Linked DNA regions of Nothobranchius furzeri. The protein of the gene in region 1 interacts with the protein of each later gene in a biochemical or structural test. Links are inferred from orthologs where the notes say so. Each region holds a gene or a part of one and is shown in the gene's direction. Other genes may lie near its edges.

Region 1 (4,155 bases):
TTATTATTATTATTCTGAGCTACTACAGCAATCAATTTCCCTCTGGGATCAATAAAGTGTTTTTGAATTGAATTGAATTTTATTCTCTAGTCTTGTTGACTTCATCCTGCGCGGCTGTTCAACGTCTCATCGATACAACATCAAAGACTTTTAAAGTTTGATCAGCAGCAAAAACACCTACAGAACAGGTGACCTGGTGAACTTTGACCTTCTGGAACAGTTCTTTTTCAAAATCTGATGAGGAGGTCTGACTTACTTTAGATTCATGAGCAATTTTTTTCTGGTCTAAAGTGGAAATGTCTTTAATTTCAAAGGTTCTGGTCTTTTAGAGGTTAGATGTTTAGTGTTGTGATCAAATGTTAAAGGTTAAAGCGCTCTAAGAAAATAATCAGTGACTAGGTCAGAGGGATTGAAACAGTTAAAAATCAGCGAAAGAAGACAAGTTAAAAACCTTCAGAAGATCTGGAGACCTGAACCAGAACCACCAGGTCACAGCAAGGGAGACTAGAAAGAGTGACTGGATCAGGAGTTCTGGGACAGATCCAGAATAGATGCTGCAGCATGTGAATTTCCCCACTGTGGGATCAATAAAGTTTATTCTATTCTGTTTAAATGAAATTAACTCTGAAGTTAACCGGCAGGCGATGAAAAGGAGAAGCGGGTTGTGTGATTTGGTCAGAAGCCTGACCTGAGCAAGGACCTGACCAGAAACCAGAAAAGCATTAATTATAGCATGGACATAGTTCTGACTTTAGAAGTGGGGACACACATCTAAGATGAGGCACCCGCCTCAACCCAGATGAGGCGGGTGCGGTGCGGTCTATCACTGCCTCAGTGCCGCTCTCTTGGTCCGTCAGGCCTCTTTCAGAAGCGTTTTCCCAACAGGATGTGTGGATGAAATACGTCTCCACCCATATGCCTGGACTCTCACTTCAATATAATGTAATATTGTTTTTAAACAGCAAAAAGTGCAGGGGACAAGAATTTATTTGGGAAAGTTTGGGGGGGGGGGGGGGGGGGGGACATGCCCCACCTGCTCCCCCAAAACTACATCCATGAATTACAGAGAGCATCTCAAATACAGATTTTTGTCAAAATTTTTTTAAATAAAATGATATAATAAACAGTTTTTCAAAAAGTACATCTTTGGAATAAATATGCTTTGTTTTGAGTGAGTTTGATGATCAGAAACTTTATTTATCACACACACACACACACACACACACACACACACACACACACACACACACACACACACGTAGGTGAGCTGCATCACTGGGCGCCCAGGTTGGGGGGGGGGGGGGGAGTGTCAGGAATCACATGGTTTACGTTTCCAGCTTCCTGAGACGCCATTTTGGAGGAAAGTTTGGACTTCGTGAGACCTGGGGAGGTGCAGGGAGAAGGAGAAGAGGAGGAGGAGGAGAAAAGAGGTGGAAGTTTGACACGAATGCAGCTTCCAGGCTGCTCGGAGGCTCCTGCGGAAGCGTGCGGACCGGGGCGGGGCAACTTTAGGTGGGCCACCAGGCTGGACTTTGAAGTTTGGGGCTTTTCTGGATCAGATTCTGGTTCGGTCTCCTCCGCAGCAGGAGCAGCAGCTGCAGTGGTCGTCGGCTCCTGCATGCTCAGCCTGGTTCGCAGCCTGCTCGGACACAGCCGGAGGATTTTACCCGGACTTTGGCGCCCAGCAGGTCCCAGCTGCTGGAGGCTAGGTCCGCTCCGCTCCCGGTTCCCTCAGCGGTCCGCCCGGGAGCTGCACACCGGCGCAGGGAGCCTCTCAGCTCAGAGAGTCGTTCCCTTCAAAGGAGTTTCTGCTTGATTCTTCCTGGAATAATCACATTTTACCGGGAGTCCTGTGTGTTTGACCCGGAGGACCGGTTCTGGTAGTAGGAACTACTTGGTGGGGTGTTTTTTTTGGAGCAGTGACGGCGGGCTTCTCTTGGAGGAATTATCCCCACAGACCCGTCCTGTGTGCGGGGTGTGTGTGGTTATCACGTCCCTAGGTCCGAACCGAACCCGAACATGCCAGTGAGAAAGAGAGGTAAGCCGCTTTCACTTCATTCCTAAAGATCAAGCTAACTGTGCTAACCTGCTGGGACAAACTCGCATTGCGGTTCAGAAACACAAACACACTAACCCGGTTCTGGCTCGGCTTACACACGACCCACACAGCTCGCTTCAGCCCTCCTGAGCCGAACCGGGCCAGCTGAAGTGAGTTAAAGTAGAGCTAGCCAGTTAGCTTGTGATGCTAACTAAGTTCTAAACTGGACCTAAAAATAAACTCCGAACTTAAATAAAATCTTCACAAAGCCGCTTCAGGTAGCACGTGACACTAAAACCAGTAACGTAGGCCCGGTAAACCGGAGGTAACCAGAAGGGACCGGGTCGGTGGTTACTGGGCTTACAGGCACTTAGTTCCTGACCCGTCTCTGGGTTTACCAGAACCTCCCATTCAGCTGGTGCCGACCCACATAAAAACAAAGTTCAACTTTTGTCCTTGTGAGCTTTTATTAAATACGTGTTAAATTGTGTTTGTGAATCTTAGTGAGTTTATTTGTGTTTAAACCAGTTAAACTGGTGATCTGGTTTTAACAGCAGGCTTCACCGCAACCTGCTTCATGGTGTTTAGTTTTTCATAAACAGAATATTCCTAAAACTTGCTTTTTGTTCTTTAATTCATTTATTAAACCTCCTGATGACCTTTGAATAAGACGTGGGTTATCCATAGACCATCCTGTTTGGGAAGTCTGGGCATCAGGTCTGTGTCAGGTGTAAATCCCGACTGAAGCCCAGCTCTGATCATCATCAGATGCTCCTGATGCAGCTGGAACAACTGAGGGGTGTGTGTTTGGAGGTGCTGCTCCTGCAGGAGGTTGAAGCTGCAGAGGATCAGATGTTTCTCTGTAGCTAGCTGGTCTGAGATCTGTTTTGACTCCTGCTCCTCCTCCTCCTACTCCCCAGATGCACAGCGGGCTCTGCTGCTCCTGGAGGAGTACCGTAACAAGCTGAACCAGACAGAGGACCGCCAGCTTCGACACTCCATTCAGAGGGTCATCGACATCTTCCAGAGCAACCTGTTTCAGGCTCTCATAGGTAAGGCTGAACTTTGACCCCAGCCACTCTGCCTGGACCCAACAGAACCAGCAGTAAAATCAGCAAAATTCACACATTTTGAATGTGGATCTCTGTCATGTTCATATTTGTTCTGAAACTAGAATCAAACCACTAGAACCTTTAGAAGAAGGTTTTGATGGTTCTGTGCTCCAGAACCAGAGGCCCTGTTCTAAACCTCACCTCCTACCTGTGATCCAGACCAGAACAGCTGTAGGTGGAACTGTTCAGTTTCTAAAAGTTCACAAACATCAACGCAGGAGAACCAGAACCAGGCCCTGGAGATGCACCAATGGCTTCTGTATTTCTGTGAGAGCTGTAGGACATCTGGTCAGACTGAAGTCCTCCTGAGAACCTTCTGATCATAGAGGCGAAGTCTTCGGTTTGGGCCCTGTTGGGTCAGAACCCTCTGATGTTCTGTCTGCTGGCTCAGGGATTCCTGTCTGCTCTCCTCCTGCTGAAGGAATAGATGAATCCGTGTGTGTGTGTGTGCGCGCGCGTGCCTGTGCGTGTTCTTCTTAAACCCGTCCTGATTCTGCGTGCGTTTGTTTTGTTGTCTTGGCAGATGCTGACAAAAAAATACATTTCTGTCAGAGGCCCCGTGGGCCGAGCAGGGTGTAATCCCTATGTGGACATGATGATTTCCCTCAGTAATCTCCACCCGCCCGGTTTACACACAGCCTCAGACAGATGGCGTCTGTCCAGTTTTGCTTTAGTGAATCAACTTTCAGATTTCTGCTCTCAGATTATAATCTGGTTCTGACAAATCTGGTCCAGCCGCAGGATCAGGTGTGATAATAAACCCGTTTATATGTAAACAACATCTTTAAATCAATCAGCTGGGTGTGTGTGATCGGCCTGGTTCGACACACACACCCAGATTTTCCTGTAACTTCCTCCTAGGAGATTCCCAGCTGCTCCAGGACCAGCTGGCAGATCCCTCTGTAACGATCAGGAGCTGGACCCACTGGTCTGTCACAGCCGGGCTTTTGCTTCCCTATCCAGAGTTAAAATTAGGAACTGTTAGGTGTGTGTTGGGTCCTGCGT
Region 2 (3,476 bases), on another chromosome or scaffold:
GAGAGAACCCACACATGCACAGGGAGAACATGCAAGCTCCATGCAGAAAGGACCTTCTCGCTGCAAGGCAACAGCTCTAACCACTGCGCCACTGCACAGCCCATTAATAAACCCTTCAAGACGTATACCAGAATTAGAAAAACTAGTTTCCATCCGTAGTCCCATGTACATAAAGCACAGACATTACAATTTAAAACAAGGTAAAAAAAAATACATACAAAATAAGAATTAAAAACAAGGATAGCTAAAATATGTGATTAACATAATTCTGGTACATCTGCTGCTGTGGTCCCCAGACTCTAGACCTCTCTCCCCCTGAGCCTGAGATCCGTGGACTCAGTGGTCTTCTTTAAAAATCAGCTGAAAACTCACCTGTTCAGGCTTTGGTGTGACCTTCATCACCACCCTCTCCTTATCTGCTCTGTCTACCAATTCCACCTTTCCCATCTAACCACTGCGCCACTGCACAGCCCATTAATAAACCTACAAGACGTAAATATACATCAGCAGATGAAAACGGATGGATGGATTTTAAATCACTGCAGATGCAGCACCAATCCGCCTATCGATCCCACGCTCCAGTTTTCCCTCAATCGTGAACAAGACCCCGAGATACTTAAACTCCTCCACATGGGGCAGTACCTCATCCCTGACCCGGAGAAGGAATTCTACCCTTTTCCGAAAATATTCCGTAAATACACCTTTTTCTTATTTATTTTCCCAATCCCTTTCCTTACATTTTTATCACATGTTTTTCACCTCCTTTTTATGATATTTTAAAATCCATCCATCCATCCGTTTTCATCCACTTATCCGGAGTCGGGTCGTGGGGGCAGTAGCCTAAGGCCACTTGGGCCAGCTCCTCCGGGGGAATCCCAAGGCGTTCCCTGGCCAGGTGAGAGACATAGTCCCAATCCGCAGCACCAATCCGCCTATTGATCTCACGCTCCAGCTTTCCCTCACTCGTGAACAAGACCCCGAGATACTTAAACTCCTCCACTTGGGGCAGGACCTCATCCCTGACCCGGAGAAGGAATTCTACCCTTTCCCGAATCAAGACCATGGTCTCAGATTTAAAGGAAAATCTTTTTTTTTTTTATATATATTTTGGTTTTAGAAATTTTTGTTCTTGTGAAGTGCTTCGTGATTTTTATCTTAAGAGTCGCTGTACAAAATATTGTTTTCTTTCTTCTTTCTTTTCTTTCTATTGGACATCACATCGGTAGGAACCAGTTTCTACCACCTGCTGACAAACGAGTTGGTGGAGCGTTTCAACCGCACATTGAAGACCATGATTCGGAAGCTCATTCACGTGAACAAACGTCACTGGGATAAGTGACTGGACCCTCTGTTGTTCGCAATCCCAGAGGTTCCTCCAAGCCTCCACAGGGTTTCCCCCTTTTGAGCTGTTATTTAGCAGAACCCCCCAGGGGAATGCTGGACCTAATTAAGGAAAATTTGGAGGAAGGTCCAAGCACAAGTAAAAATGACATCCTTTACGTCCTGGACCTGAGAGCAAAGCTCCAAACACTGGGAACACTTTCACGAGGACATTTGCTCCAGGCCCAGGAACATCATCAACAGGGTATGAGAATTTTACCCAGGGGATCAAGTTGTTGTATTACTCCCTTCTTCCAGCTCCAAACTACTCACCAAGTGGCAAGAACCCTTTGAGGTAACGCGGTGAGTGGGGGACGTGGACTACGAGGTGGTGCAGTCTGACAGGGGAGTAGCCACTCAGATCTATCACCTGAATCTCCTAAAAGCACGAAGAGAGGAGGCGCCAGTATCTCTACTGTGTGCAGTTCGGGGGAAGAGTGATTTGGGGCCAGAGGTACCAAAACAGTCCGATGAGACCCTTGTCTTCTGGGATGACCATCTCTCTGTCAGATAGCTTACTGTCTGATCCTCCATGGGCAGATGGAGCGGGCATAACTGAGGGGGCACGCTGCCACACAGCTGGAGTGCATCAATAATCAGACCTCGCCTTCTAACTATAGGAGGAGGAGGAAGACAGGGGAGGACAAGCTGGGACTGAAAAGCCAGGAGAAACGTCTGGGCGGGCTGGGAGAAGGAGAGCGAAGGGAAAGGAGTAAATAAAGCTGTGTTGAACTGAATGGTGTGACGTGTTGTGTGTGTGGCCGCGGAAGTAGCTGGTTCATGCCACAGGGCAATTTAAACAAGCTGTCTTTGCACAGAGCGGGACGTTGACAGTTTCACTTATAGAGTGCATGCCAGCTTACTGTGCACCCTGAGAGCTAATTATTTTACCCATGCAATTTTGCATTGGTAAAAAAAACAATTTGGTCGTAAAAAAAAAAGGTTTTGAGCCATAATGTAACGAATATGTAGGTTAATACAACTCTCATTTGATCTTGTCTTTGTTTCAGGGCGGCTGCTTGATGCCACCAACAACTACATGTATGTCTTCCTGCTGGCGGGATGTGAAGTGGTGCTGTCTGCTGTGGTTCTAGCTGCCGGCAATTTTCTGTTCATTAAGAGGTCCCCTGAGCCAGCAGACAAACTAGAGAGCATCACAGCAACCGACGATTGTACTTCAAAGATGTGCAGCACAAGTGCAGAGGTGAACGATGATGAGGAGAAAAAGGTGAGAGAAGAACAGGAGATGGTGATAAAGGAAAAGGAGGAAAGGGTTGAGTTCAGGCAGAAGAACATCACAGTGGACACACAGGAAGTGGAGAGGTTCTTGAAAGAGCCCCAGACAAATGGTAACATGGCTGCTTGTCCCGAGACCTGTTTGTAGGCTCAGGGAGGATTCAGGTGGGGTCACTAACTAAATAGCTTTGTGAAATATACTATTGCCTTGTTTGTTGAAAAGCTTTGGCATGATTCTCGTTGACTCATGCAAGGAGATAAAATGTAAATTATGCATATTTTCATCAGTAAAGTCATTTGATGTTGGCAAATTGACTTCATGACAAATAGGAGGTAAGTTTCAGTACTGCCCTATGAACACGGCTCATCAAATGTAGACATGACATTTTATACAGTCACCAGCCAAAAAAATCTAGATATTTTTGTCAAAATTATATCTGATCTGCGTTACCAGACCATAACTGCAATGTATTAATATGTATTAAGAATAACTGACCTGACCTACTGGTTCAACAGGATAACTAACCAGCTAACTGCTGACTCACGTTCTGAGTTAAAATAACCTTCCACTGTCAGGTGTTAGCTTCGGGGTTCGTCTTACACCTTCAAGCAACCATCTGTCCAGAGGGACCACAACATGCCCACATGAACGGAACAAATACATGTCAGAACAGAATGGCCTGCTTAATTCAAACGAGATCAATCACTAATGATCTTCTAATGTTGCTGACTCTGGCTCGGTCTCTATCCTCATTCTCCTTTACCTCAGTGCTGAATTTGACACCATCTGTCACTCCCCCCTATCCACAATAGGCAATTCTCACATTCCACTTAACTGGTTCAAGTCACATCTTAGCTTG
Region 3 (4,072 bases), on another chromosome or scaffold:
GAAGTTCTCTCCTTGTTGTGTCTTAGGAACAATAACGCTGCGTTTAAAGAGACTCTGAAGCAGATCGAGTCGAACAGCGAATGCGGAGGCCTCCCCATGCTCTCGTTCCTCATCCTGCCCATGCAGAGAGTCACCAGGCTGCCGCTGCTGCTCGATGTTAGTTTAACCTTTGACTGTAGAAACAGACTTTAGAGCTAAAAACAGTGATTTTTTAGCTGTTTGAACATAATACTAAAAATATCTGACTGTATAATTTCTAATAGCGTGCAGTAATTTAGCTACGGTATTACTCCTTTAATTGCTTTATTTTTCTATTTGCAGACAATCTGTCAGAAAACTCCAGCACAGACAGCGGAGTATTTTTCTGCTGTTTGGGCACTGAATGCCATGAGTAAGGTATAACAAGTCAGCTGAGTGGAAAACACTCCTCATCAGTACACGTGTGTTGAGGATGTTGATGTTTTGATTTGTTTTTGCTGCTGTTGTGATCTCAACAGTTGGTCACAAGCTGCAACGACGGTGCAAGGCGGATGGAGAGGACGGAGCAGATGTACACGATCCAGAAACAGATGGATTTTGGAAAAATAAAGGTGAGTATTTCTGCAGAAATGTGCTCAGAGCGGTTCGTTTAGGGTAAAACGAGCAAACTAACAGATTTAATATGAACAGTGATGAATCTGAATCAGCACAGAAAACTAACAGCTGTCTCCTCGCAGCCTTTCCCGCTGATTTCATCATCACGATGGCTGAAGAAGCGAGGAGAGCTCTCCATCTCCAGCGAGGAGCTCAGCATATGGAGAGCGTTCAGCAACAGGAGCTACTACCTGTTTCTCTTCTCTGATGTACTCATCATCACCAGGAAGAAGACGTGAGTGGATTCACCGAGCTTGTTCATATTATTCACCCGAGTTTCTGAATGAAGCTGAAAATTACAGATCCGATTCTGATTCAGAGTACTTCAAACCTAGTTGTGCTGCCTGTCTAATTTACAGCCAGCTTGAGAGTGTCTGATAGAGGCGTTATGTTGTCTTTGTGACCTGTGGACACTAAACAGACCCAGCTGGTCACAGGAACACGAGCAGAGGGTATGGGATGTGTTGCATGCATACTTGGGATTCTTCAATCTTGCATTCAGCTCGTCAGCTCGACCGACTTCTGTTTTGAGTTAGGGAGAAGCCAAACAACGTCCGCTCAGAGGACGGGTTTGTCCACAACACCGGGTTCAAAGTCAAAGCTGTGACCCGGTTTCAGGTGAAAGCATACGATAAGGGTTTAAGCAGACAGCTGAGGAATATGCTGCTTTTTAAACACGGTCACTCCTACACGCTACCCATATGGAACGTAATGTTTTTTTAAATCCAGAGAGGAGAGCTTCGTGGTGCTGGACTACGCCACTCTGGAGAACGTGGAGGTGGAGTTAGGGGAGGATGCAGAAGTACGAGGAGTGTCACCTACAAAATACAACTCCAACCAGCTTTCCTTCAGACTAAGGATGAGTAAGAACAGCGAGGGGAAGTCAGAGCAAACCTCTCTGGTGGCTGACTCCAGGTACTGCTGCACTCCCATGTTCCTAAAGTAAATGTAATGTTTCCTACTAATAACACTGCCTCTAACCTGGACAAGAACCGCCTTGTAAACATGTATCTGCAGGCTGGACTCATAAAGCCTTCCTGTAATCCACGATTCTGAGTGTTTGGCTCCCTCTGCTGGCAGAATGATAGCTCACTGTTCTCTCTTGCCAAGGGTGGACCGAGCTCGCTGGATAATTGCACTGAGAGGGAAGCAGACCAGTTTTACCTGCACAAACGGTAAGTCTGCATACTTCAGTGAGTTGCTGTAATGATGGTTGAGACTTTTTCCCTGTGAGGATAAGCTGCACAGAATTTCCTTTCGTTCTTTTAATATTTTAAATCATTTGAGTTAGATTTGTGAACCCCAGTGCAATGCATTATGGGAATCTGTTTCAGGTTCACCACAGTATGAAGCCACCAAAGCTTACATCCCCAAAGAGCCAGATGAACTGAGTTTGCGGCAGGCTGAGCTCGTCATAGTTCTGCAAAAGGAGGAGGGTGAGACTTTCTAGCTCATACTAGTCCCGATTCTTTTCTGCTTCTGTGTTTTAAACCGTTTGCTCTCCTTAGATTGGTGCTACGGGGAGAGGATGCGGGATGGTGAGAGAGGCTGGTTTCCTGCTAACTGTGCCACAGAGATCACCGACCCCACCGCCATGGAGAATAACGTACAACGTATGAAGCGCCTGCGCAAGGAAACCAATGTTTGATCAACTGTCAGGGTTTTGCTTGGACAGACTTGTAGATAAATTACACTGAACCCCAGACGTCCATAACTAGACTGAAAGATGTTTATTAGCTGAATGTTGCCATAAAATTTGATGTAGTCAGTTTATAAAACAGTTAATGGTTCAAACATCTTCATTAAACTACTCCTATATTGTGCCTGTATAAATAATAAAATCCACCAGACACATTTTCTGGTTTCTGGAGTTTTATTTGAGCTTGCATTTTGTTAAAATGTCTGAATACATAAAAAGTTATTTAAAAATGTCAAACTGACCAGATATCAAATTTCATTTTTAATCATCTTTAAAAACCATTTGGTGTAAAAACTTAGGACAGATTTAGAAAAACATTTGTTGTTTCCCCAAAACGTTTTGTAGCTGCAAGTAAAAATAATGGGAAAGAAAAACAAGTCTGCATAGATTCTGCAGGCAATCGGTGGTAATCTGGTCAAACGCGTGGTGCAAGCTTGTGACGATCTTAAAAGTCAAATCTTTATTGCTCGGATCTTGTTTGATGTTTCTTCTTGTTGACAAAAGAAAAACTGTTGAAAAGAAACATAATTTAGTCGACATGCACCATGAACATCAAATGCTTAATGAGCTTCTGCTCACCCGGACGATGGTAAAAGATGGTAGGTGCCGGTGGGCAGGTTCACTACTCAGCCCCACCCTGCTGGGCCTCGGGAGCGGACGTTTTCTCTGCAGGTGGGTCGCCTCCTGTCTTGGCCTCCTTGTTTTCCTGGCCTGGTTTGCCACCAGTCTGTTGGCGTCTGCGGCGGTAGTTGTAGTTACGGCGGTAGCGCCTCTGGCGGGGCTGTTGATTCTGACCACCTTCACCGCCCTGATTTTCTTTGTCCTCCTCGCCGTCTCGCACCGGTCTGGGACGGGGTGGACCCCTGGAGCACAGAGACCGTCATGAGAACGATTCAGAAAATCGGGGTAAAGATTGCATTAACTGCAGATGCTGGATGAAGTTTCAAAGACATGCAAATATAAATAAAATGAATGCACAGCAGCAATTTGAGGTTGGGCTGCAACAACAGAAGTTTGTAATGTGACGTTTTGTCATCACTTCAAATTTTTAAAATGAAGCTCCAGTGGACCCAGAGCTTCACCAACTACTCCAGTTTTTGCCAACCCTTCATCAATAAAGCCAACATGCAAACCTTGGTGTGAACCTTGGTCGGAAGCCTCTGTAGTAGTTCTGCCTCGCCGGTTTGTTCCCCTGGTCTGGACCTCCTTGGCCCTCATCAACCTCACCTCCCTGAAAACAAACATTTAACCATAACGGACGCTTTTTTTAGTGACACACCCACTTTAGAAACTTGAAACCATCTAAGTTTTTTGTTTTAATTCTTTTTTTTTTTTTTTCAAGATTTTGTTCACAGTTTTGTTGTTTTTCATTGACAGGAGGGGCTCACTTCCAAGACCCCCGATACACCAAGATTAGTTGATCACAACCACGTTTGTGAAGAGGAGAGTAGCTCGTCTACAACAAAGGGTTTTAATTTTGGAATGGGACAACTGGGTGACTGTTTCAGGATTTTAGCCCTGTGACAGCGTACCTCAGTCATCTCTGCGTGGTGCGTTGGGTGTATGGGGCCTGCGGCCGTAGCGACTACGTACAAAATATGGTGGGTAGCGCCGTCTGCCAGGGTACGCTGGTCTGCGCTGTGGTTGCTGCGAATCTCCATCAGGGATGTTATCTCCACCCTCTCTGCTGCCTTTGTCACGTCCTCCACTGCCAGGCTCTCCCTCGTCGCTCTGGTAGTT
Region 4 (4,161 bases), on another chromosome or scaffold:
AAAAATATACTTTTTTTTTGTTGAGGAAAAAAAGTCAGTTTGGCACCATGGAGGCATGCTGAAGGGCAGATAATTGTGGATGAGAGACTGCAGCAGGTACGCAGTACCGGCTGCGTCCACTGGGGGAGGACCGAGCGCCGCCTGCGCGCTGCAGTACACGACACACACACACACACACACACACACACACACACACACACACACACACACACACACACACACACACACACACACACACACACAATGGGAGGGATACAGGAGATAGGTAGAGCTAAAGCGGCAGACAGACAGATGTGTGATGCTCAGACTGAGGCCGTTCCTTTCCGCCCGAACCAAGGTAAACTTTTACCCACCCTCGTTTTCTTCTGCTCGCGGTCGCGTGGAGCCATCGTAGATGCCAACTCGCTGCGTGAACACCTGATTCCCCAGAAGCGGTGCCGCAGAAATTGAGGCTCAAGTGCCAACAGATCCTGTTGAATTGAGACAACACGTCGACATGCACGCAGCCGGAAAAAGTGCCCTCCTCAGAGTGCGTCAGAGCACGGATGCATATGCTGGATGTGGATATGGTCGCCCGTTGGAGACGGAGACGGATTTGTGATTATCACGCCTCACAATCAAGACGAAGGTTTGAGCGCAGAAGAAAATCTGTATCCTCGCCTCCTCATCATCTTCCAACAAATGTGTTTTTAGGAGGGCTGAGGCTCTTTTGGCCCTTTACGGATGTAAGTATGGATGTCAGGATGAAATAATGGTGCTTAGTGAGAGGATTTCGTGCGAAACGTGTTTTGTTAATGCCGTCCAAGCATTAATATTAATAATAATAATAATAATAATAATAATAATAATAATAATAATAATAATAATAATAAGCGTGTGAAGTTTCGTAATATGCACAGCGATCATTAATATTAACACGTCCCTTTCTCTCGTGTTGTTGTCTAAATCCTATCCTCTCCTTTTCTCGCAGCTTCTGAGAGGAAAAGTCATTCGGATTCATCGGAGCTCCAGAATAAAGCGGAGATCCATCCAAATGAAACACAAATATAGATCTCACCTCATAAAATGGCAACCACGGGTGACCACGGAGGATTAAAGGACGCGTTTGAGCGCAAACCCTCGGTCGTGGGGGAATGAGCCACCTGATGGCCACCAGAGAAACGGAGGAGAGACTGTTTTGGTGTCGCTTGTTGACTCGGTGATTTATGAACACATAAAGCGGCGCTGCAAGTTTGACAGAGCGTCTGCGTAACAGGCTATGCCACTGGCCCTTGGATTTGTATTATCCTTATGTTTATATTTTGCTTCTAATGATGTCATAAAATCTTGGGTGCTCGAGCCACGACCATTATCTTCTATCATGTAAGAAGCTACCCAATATGGACCTTTCTGAGGAGTGTTTGTTGTTCTCACTTTCTCTTATTCCCGGGAACGGTTGATGCCTCGTGCCCTCGCGTCTCTGCGCGCGCCGAACTGCAACTTTTCTCCCCTGCTCTGCATCCACACCTTGTCGTGGCGCTTACTGCGCCGCTGATCGACTGAAAATGGAATTTGCGATGGTGGGTGCGGACGGAGGGTGCAACAGTCACCTGCCTTACGGATATGCCCAAGCTCGCGCACGGGAAAGGGAGCGCGAGAGGGAGCGCCAGGCTGCCCAGTCGCGAGCGGCGGCTGCAGCGGCCGCGGCCGAAGGATGCTCTGGTGCGGAGGGAGGAGGAGGAGGAGGAGGAGGTGGTGGAGGCGGTGGTGTAGGGGGGTCCACCTCCACCGCCTCCTCGAGCGCTCATCTCCTTAACAATCGCCAGCATCAGTCTCGCGCCGCCTCCTCCTCCGCGAACATCAGCAGCAGCGCCGCCTCGCGCCCCTCCTCCTCCTCCTCCCAGCATCAGCAGGAACCCGAGCAGCAGCACAGAGTTCTCAGAGAGCGGAAAAAGCAGCGCGGCGTCGGACGGTGGAGGCGCAACCGGAGCACTCTCGGCGGGGACCTGCGCCACTCGGAGCTGGCGCTGCTCGGATCCGAGGAGGACATCATGATAGAGGAGGAGGAGGAGGAGGCCGAGGGAGCGGAGGAAGAGGAGGAGGAAGAAGGGGAGGCGGCAGAGGGGGTTCGAGGCAGCAAAAGGTCGAGTTTTCTGTGCAACATGGATGATGAGGAGACGGTGTCGATCACCGACCGGCGCCCTCAGTCCGGCTACGAGAACGTTTACAGCGAGTGCGGCTGCTGCGAGCGGGTGGTCATCAACGTGTCGGGGCTGAAGTTTGAAACTCAGCTCAAGACTCTCACTCAGTTCCCAGACACCTTGCTGGGAGACCCCGACAAGCGCATCAGGTACTTCGACCCGCTGAGGAACGAATACTTCTTCGATCGAAACCGGCCGAGCTTCGATGCCATCCTGTACTACTACCAGTCAGGGGGGCGCTTAAAAAGACCCGTGAACGTGCCGTTTGACATCTTCTCAGAGGAGGTGAAGTTTTACGAACTCGGCGAGGAGGCGATCCTCAAGTTTCGGGAAGATGAGGGTTTTGTGAAAGAGGAGGAAAAGCCTCTGCCGGAGGACGAGTTCAAGCGCCAGATCTGGCTGCTGTTCGAGTATCCGGAGAGCTCGAGTCCTGCCCGGGGCATCGCGGTGGTGTCCGTCCTGGTCATCGTCATCTCTATTGTCATTTTCTGCCTGGAGACGCTGCCAGAGTTCAGGGATGAAAAAGAGTACCTGCAGCCACGACACAACTCTTCTCAGCCGGACCACGGCTTCACACCCTTCAACGACCCGTTCTTCATCGTGGAGACGGTCTGCATCATCTGGTTCTCCTTTGAGATTATAGTGCGCTTCTTTGCAAGTCCGAGCAAAACAGCTTTCTTTAAAAACATTATGAACACGATAGACATTGTATCCATTTTGCCTTACTTCATAACTCTTGGCACGGATCTGGCGCAGCACCAGGGCAACGGGCAGCACACCATGAGCTTCGCCATCCTGAGAATAATCCGCCTGGTTCGGGTGTTCCGCATCTTCAAGCTGTCCAGACACTCCAAGGGGCTGCAGATCCTGGGTCACACGCTGCGCGCCAGCATGAGGGAGCTGGCTCTGCTCATCTTCTTCCTGGTCATCGGCGTAATCCTGTTCTCCAGCGCGGTGTACTTCGCTGAGGCGGACGAACCCACCTCTCAGTTCACGAGCATCCCCGACGCGTTCTGGTGGGCCGTGGTTACCATGACGACGGTTGGCTACGGTGACATGAAGCCCATCACTGTTGGTGGGAAGATAGTTGGTTCGCTGTGCGCGATCGCGGGCGTGTTAACCATCGCGCTGCCGGTGCCTGTCATAGTGTCCAATTTTAACTACTTTTACCACCGAGAGACGGATAACGACGACCAGCCGCCCGCCGTGGTGGAGAGCATGCCCCCGGGATGCCCTTATTTCCCTGACTTTCTAAGAAAATTCAAAGGTTCACCCTCTGGCTCATCGCTGGGTGACAAAGCGGAGTACATGGAGATGGAGGAAGGGGTGACGGAGTCGCTGTGCGGGCTGGACAAGAGCCCCAGTAAAGGAAACGGCACAGACATAAGCAGGAAAAACAGTACTAACTCTAAATCCATTCAGACTGACGTGTGATTACAGTAGTTTATTATTATTAGTGGTATTGTTTTGTTTTCCAAAGAAGAAAAGCATCTTGTAGAGACACTTTCTGCTCAACAGCAGCGGAATCCCCTCCCCAACCCTCCCCAAACACAGGCTTTACGCACGCGTCAGAGTGCACACAGACACACACAGATTTACGCACACACATACACTCACACATAAACACGAAACTAATTGGCAAGCTCAAAAGTTTTCTCTTGACACAATCATAATCTATAATTTATCTAATTTATTGGTAAATATATTAATTTATTCTGTGCGGGCTTCCAAATCTGACAGATCTAAATTAGAAACAGGCTATGCATTCGCACTTTATGAGTTTCATCTGTCACACCAGAGGGTTAGGGACGATCTTTTTGCTGTTATGCAATACAGTTTAAAACATGTTTGCACTAATGTAGAATTTGCGCTGGGTTTGGCAGATTTCTATGTAGAGACAGAAACTGTAGGCCATGCAGGCAACACGGTAGGCACCTTCTGCTCAGCTGGAACACGAATGAGGATTTTAACACTCAATTGG
Region 5 (4,177 bases), on another chromosome or scaffold:
CTAGAGAAGAGTGCAAATGTATTGAAAGAATGAGTAAACCACAACTTAAAATTAATTATTTTTAGAAAATGCACTTTTGTTTATTTGCAAATGTATTTTGTTTTATTCCAGAAGCTAGTAGGTAATTACGTCTGTTTGCATTTCTCAAAAAAAAAAAATCCATAATCACATTTCATTTTGACTCTAAGCCTTTTTCTGGGCACATTTAACATTTTCACTATTTTCTACTGAAAATATACAGACAAATTAAATTCAATTTTAATTTGACAGAAGCAGAAAGAGTTTCATTATGAGGAGCTTAATTACTAAGACAATGAGCTGCAGGTTGTTCAGGTTCATTACGAAAACTTTTGAAAAATGTAGAAGTTGGAACATGAAAGGGGGTGTCCACGAAGGGGTTTTTACTCCATGTAAACGTCCTGTGAGGCAGATGGACTGATAAAGCATATTTAAATGAAATAACACAATGATTCACAAATAGAATTTAAACGAAATGTTTTTTGCTGTTGTCATTTTTAGTTAGTTTAATAAAAAAAGGCAACACTCTGGAAGCAAAACTTCAGATTGCACTTAGTCTGACAGATGTTTCTCAATCAATGATATGAGCTATCATTGGCAAACAGGGCAATCATGACCCCTAGTGGTCAAAAAACGACAGCACAAAAAGCACTTTGACAGTAGGGAGCAATTAAGCGCTATAAAAGCTGGCATTTACTTGGAATGAGTAATTTGTTTTTAAGCCTGGAGGAATGCATGTGTGTTCATTTAATGGGGACATTCTGTCACACACGGAGTTGTGCAATCAAAAATGCATGAAAACACGACTCACACATTGCCCAATGCATTTTAATGGAATGGTTATGAAATCTATAAATCAGGACGAGGTCATCAGAAATGATTATACTTTATAATGTTCGTCCACAGTGATGCATATGTGGGTAATAAAGTAGATTTGATACACACGTTTGAGTTTAATTGTTTTTATATAGTTCCATTTCTTGTTGTGTTCAGATATTTGGCAGTATCACAATCTACCACACGGTGGCGCCAAAGAAAAGCAGGTAAAATAGCTTTTAAAACAGGCGTGTTGGAAAAGTGGGAAAACCTTTTGGAAAATTGACTATCGAGGACTTACTTGTAAAATAACAGTTTCTAATTACACTTTTATTGTAGCCTACACCCTGTTTTTCATCACATTTGCTTGATTTTCATCAACAAGCCTGGCCAACTGCTACAAAAAGCTTCATTGTCTTCCCGGAAACCCTCTCCAATATGCTGAAGTAGAAACTATCTGAGTGAATTCCTGAACTTGAGTACTGCTGTTCCTCCTCCTCCACCTCCCCCCTGCATTCAAACTCCTCAGCGCTCCCACAGACGCGGTCAGGGTGGCAGGCATGAATCCTCTCTGTCAGTAACTCCTTAAACTTCTCTGTTTTTTGGTCATCATTTCGCTAAAAATGCGCTTTTCGGACAGCTCAGGCGTAAAGAGCACGTCCAGAGTGATAGGTTAGGAGGTAAGTTTAACTTTTAACCTGCTTTTAGTTTCTCCTGGTAATCAGAAACAGCACCTTGCCTCATAAATAGATTAAAAACAACACTAAAATCTGGTGCCTTGTTGTTTCCTGTTTGGACTTCTACAGTAACTGCTCGTCATCTCACCAGTTTGTAATTAGGTCATTTCACTATGATGAGTAAATACAAAAAGATCTGTCTTGACTGGTTTGCCTTCTGTTTTCTGACCACATGTGTCTTGTCTGTAGTTGTGTCTGCTCCAAGTCCCTGTTAATGAGTAAACGTTTGGAATTTGTACACTGTCCTGAGCTCTTGAATGCTGAGTGGTGTTTTTCCTCTTGTGCATCTCAAGCGGAGGATATCTGCTCCCCAAAAGGGCTCTGTAGTTTGCTCCAGCCTGGAAGTTCAGCCACAAACGGCAACGAGGACTCGCAACAACTATGGATATTGGCAGCGATGTCGATCTGTCCAATAATAACATCACGCCTTTGTGGAAACTGCGTACAGACCACCGTAAAAGCTCCCTGGACATGAGCAGGTCTAAGCAGCGGCCCGTTAGTTATCGCATAAACGGGGTCATGACTGCTGATGTCCCTGTGGAGGACAGCCAGCCAGCTGAGAGACAGGCGGGATCAGCTCAGTCTGCTCACAACAACACCGCGGTGATGAAGCACGTTTTACAGAAGCCCTCAAGGAAAACCAGAGTGGTTCGGAGCATAAGCATAGGCCATCTGTCCAGTGGGCGATTCTCTCTGGCCAAATTTAGATCTGACAATAACAAATCTGCTTCACTGGACAACAAAGTGTGTAATGGAGACAGTGGCAGAGGGAATACCAGTAATGGACAAGCTGTATTGTCTGAAATCACCTCCAGTCCCAAGAGTCTCAGCTTACAGAGAAAACAGAATTCATTTTCATCCGAAGCTGATCCTTTCAGCTGTTCTACAAATGTCAACAACAACAACTATGAAACATTTTCACGATCCTCTTCATCGAGCTCCTCACCGTCATCACACGGTACCCTCACACCCTCCAACAGCTCCACGTCCAGCATCCCCTCACTCTTGTCTTTGACCTCCTCTGACCCTTCCACTCCTCGCTCCCCCTCACCAGCAGACCGAGGATTTTCCCTGGTCAGGCAGTCTCGGACATCTTCCTCCTCACAAGACGCCCTGAATGTCTCATCGTCCTCTTCCATCTCCTCCACATCGCCCTTACCATCACTATCCCCAGCTGTCTCGCCTTGTCCGTCGATCATCCTGAGCACCAACAGCGCCGCCGCTTGGAAAATGGGCACCCAGCAGCTCATCCCCAAAGGCTTGGTGTCTGAAACTCGGCTGAGTAAGGCGCATCCTTCTGGAACACAGAGCCAGGGTATGACCAGGCTGGGGTTAGACCTTCCCAAGCGAGGGCAAAAAACACTCAGCATGGTGGAAACGGGAGGCTACTTTTCTACTGGAGGGGGCCACTCTGAAGAGGCAGACAGAGGGAGTGAAAGCCCCCTTTCAAGGAAAGGTTTGAGGAGTACCTCTTACAGGAGGGCAGTTGTGAAGGCAGAAGAAACGGAAATACCCTCCGTAGATCAAATGACTCATCGGTTGTCACAACCTGCCATTAGCGGGCTTACTTTGGCTATCCCAAGTTCTCCTGATAGCCCATCACATCCTGTCACCTTGAGCCCTTCGAGTCCTGGAGCAGCCATCCCTACGAGCCCCAGCACACCTAAAACTGCCAGCCCCAAGACTCCAAAGCCTCCGAGCCCTCAGGTGGAAAAATCTAAAAGCAAAAGCAAGAAACTGGTAGGTACATCTGTTATCCAAAGGAATGCTTGAACATAATTGTCTTGAGACGCCTGCATTAGTTGGACCAACTTTGAAAGGTCTTATTGAGATTTTTATTGTTTTAATCTTCATCAAATTACATTTTCCCTCTTAATTTGTTGTAAAGAAAGTTTAATACAACATTTCGCTGTTTGAAAAGTTCTTATGTCTAAACTTCATTCTGATAATCCTAGCATAACCTGTATACCTTTGTATTTTCCTTAGCTTGAAACAAGTTATGTTTTGTCTTTGTCTCAGTTAATAACTCTGATGGCTTCTCTGTGTTGCACAAAGATTGCTTTGACAGATTTTCAGTATCAGAAGGGCTAAAGTCCGAATTATAAAACCACTGCACAAGCTGACCATTGTGGAACAAACTTAGCAGCGGCAGACGTGAGGACAAGGCCTCACAGGGAAACAATTAACTTGTTTGTTGGAAGACCAGACGCAACGAGACGCTACGTCTAAACAAACACACTTAAAAACACACTGACTCTGTCATTAAATATGTGTCAGGAAAGGAGGTCAAGAACAGCTGGTGTTTTGGTCCCATGGAGTTTAAAGTTGTGACACTTTTCTTGTAGACTCTAAATAAGAAGAAACTCTTGATAGCTCAGCGGACGTTTGACAGTGAAGGTGAGACGCAGTCATCTTACTCTTCTTTGTGATCAGTGCGCTTCTTCATCTTTAGTTTTTTTTTCCCCTTTTTTCAGAGGAAGAGCTTTACCAGAACTACCAAGAGAAGGCTTTGCATAATGATTCCGATGAGGACGCCTATTCCAGGGAACCCAAACCTGATAACGGCATTGTCGTGCAGTATAGACCAATACGTACTTCTTGGAGCC

The links.
Region 2: the proteins of dlg1b (region 1) and slc16a3a interact in a test that uses a peptide from one of them, tested with the Homo sapiens proteins (2 studies listed by IntAct, with this or other methods). The link is inferred for Nothobranchius furzeri from reciprocal best matches to the Homo sapiens genes DLG1 and SLC16A3.
Region 3: the proteins of dlg1b (region 1) and arhgef16 interact in a test that uses a peptide from one of them, tested with the Homo sapiens proteins (2 studies listed by IntAct, with this or other methods). The link is inferred for Nothobranchius furzeri from reciprocal best matches to the Homo sapiens genes DLG1 and ARHGEF16.
Region 4: the proteins of dlg1b (region 1) and kcna4 interact in a biophysical measurement, tested with the Homo sapiens proteins (2 studies listed by IntAct, with this or other methods). The link is inferred for Nothobranchius furzeri from reciprocal best matches to the Homo sapiens genes DLG1 and KCNA4.
Region 5: the proteins of dlg1b (region 1) and rho guanine nucleotide exchange factor 26 interact in a test that uses a peptide from one of them, tested with the Homo sapiens proteins (2 studies listed by BioGRID and IntAct, with this or other methods). The link is inferred for Nothobranchius furzeri from reciprocal best matches to the Homo sapiens genes DLG1 and ARHGEF26.

What each region holds. Positions count from the first base shown.
Region 1 is NC_091751.1:34,942,010-34,946,164, reverse strand, and holds the start of dlg1b (disks large homolog 1), read left to right. Parts: upstream 1-1,355; 5' UTR 1,356-2,019; coding exon 2,020-2,038; intron 2,039-2,958; coding exon 2,959-3,090; intron 3,091-4,155. UniProt on the Homo sapiens protein: Essential multidomain scaffolding protein required for normal development. Recruits channels, receptors and signaling molecules to discrete plasma membrane domains in polarized cells.
Region 2 is NC_091758.1:11,499,049-11,502,524, forward strand, and holds the end of slc16a3a (monocarboxylate transporter 4-like), read left to right. Parts: intron 1-2,390; coding exon 2,391-2,764; 3' UTR 2,765-2,968; downstream 2,969-3,476. UniProt on the Homo sapiens protein: Proton-dependent transporter of monocarboxylates such as L-lactate and pyruvate. Plays a predominant role in L-lactate efflux from highly glycolytic cells.
Region 3 is NC_091755.1:32,511,829-32,515,900, forward strand, and holds the end of arhgef16 (rho guanine nucleotide exchange factor 16), read left to right. Parts: intron 1-26; coding exon 27-156; intron 157-321; coding exon 322-396; intron 397-497; coding exon 498-590; intron 591-716; coding exon 717-868; intron 869-1,362; coding exon 1,363-1,548; intron 1,549-1,743; coding exon 1,744-1,808; intron 1,809-1,967; coding exon 1,968-2,069; intron 2,070-2,141; coding exon 2,142-2,281; 3' UTR 2,282-2,954; coding exon of another isoform or gene 2,955-3,195; 3' UTR 3,196-3,465; downstream 3,466-4,072. Other genes in the region: ybx1 (Y-box-binding protein 1), read right to left, coding at 2,955-3,195, 3,466-3,563, 3,926-4,072. UniProt on the Homo sapiens protein: Guanyl-nucleotide exchange factor of the RHOG GTPase stimulating the exchange of RHOG-associated GDP for GTP. May play a role in chemotactic cell migration by mediating the activation of RAC1 by EPHA2.
Region 4 is NC_091749.1:47,038,233-47,042,393, reverse strand, and holds kcna4 (potassium voltage-gated channel subfamily A member 1), read left to right. Parts: upstream 1-1,356; 5' UTR 1,357-1,544; coding exon 1,545-3,614; 3' UTR 3,615-3,761; downstream 3,762-4,161. UniProt on the Homo sapiens protein: Voltage-gated potassium channel that mediates transmembrane potassium transport in excitable membranes. Forms tetrameric potassium-selective channels through which potassium ions pass in accordance with their electrochemical gradient.
Region 5 is NC_091753.1:51,607,816-51,611,992, reverse strand, and holds the start of rho guanine nucleotide exchange factor 26, read left to right. Parts: upstream 1-1,376; 5' UTR 1,377-1,514; intron 1,515-1,864; 5' UTR 1,865-1,952; coding exon 1,953-3,311; intron 3,312-3,916; coding exon 3,917-3,968; intron 3,969-4,045; coding exon 4,046-4,177. UniProt on the Homo sapiens protein: Activates RhoG GTPase by promoting the exchange of GDP by GTP. Required for the formation of membrane ruffles during macropinocytosis. Required for the formation of cup-like structures during trans-endothelial migration of leukocytes.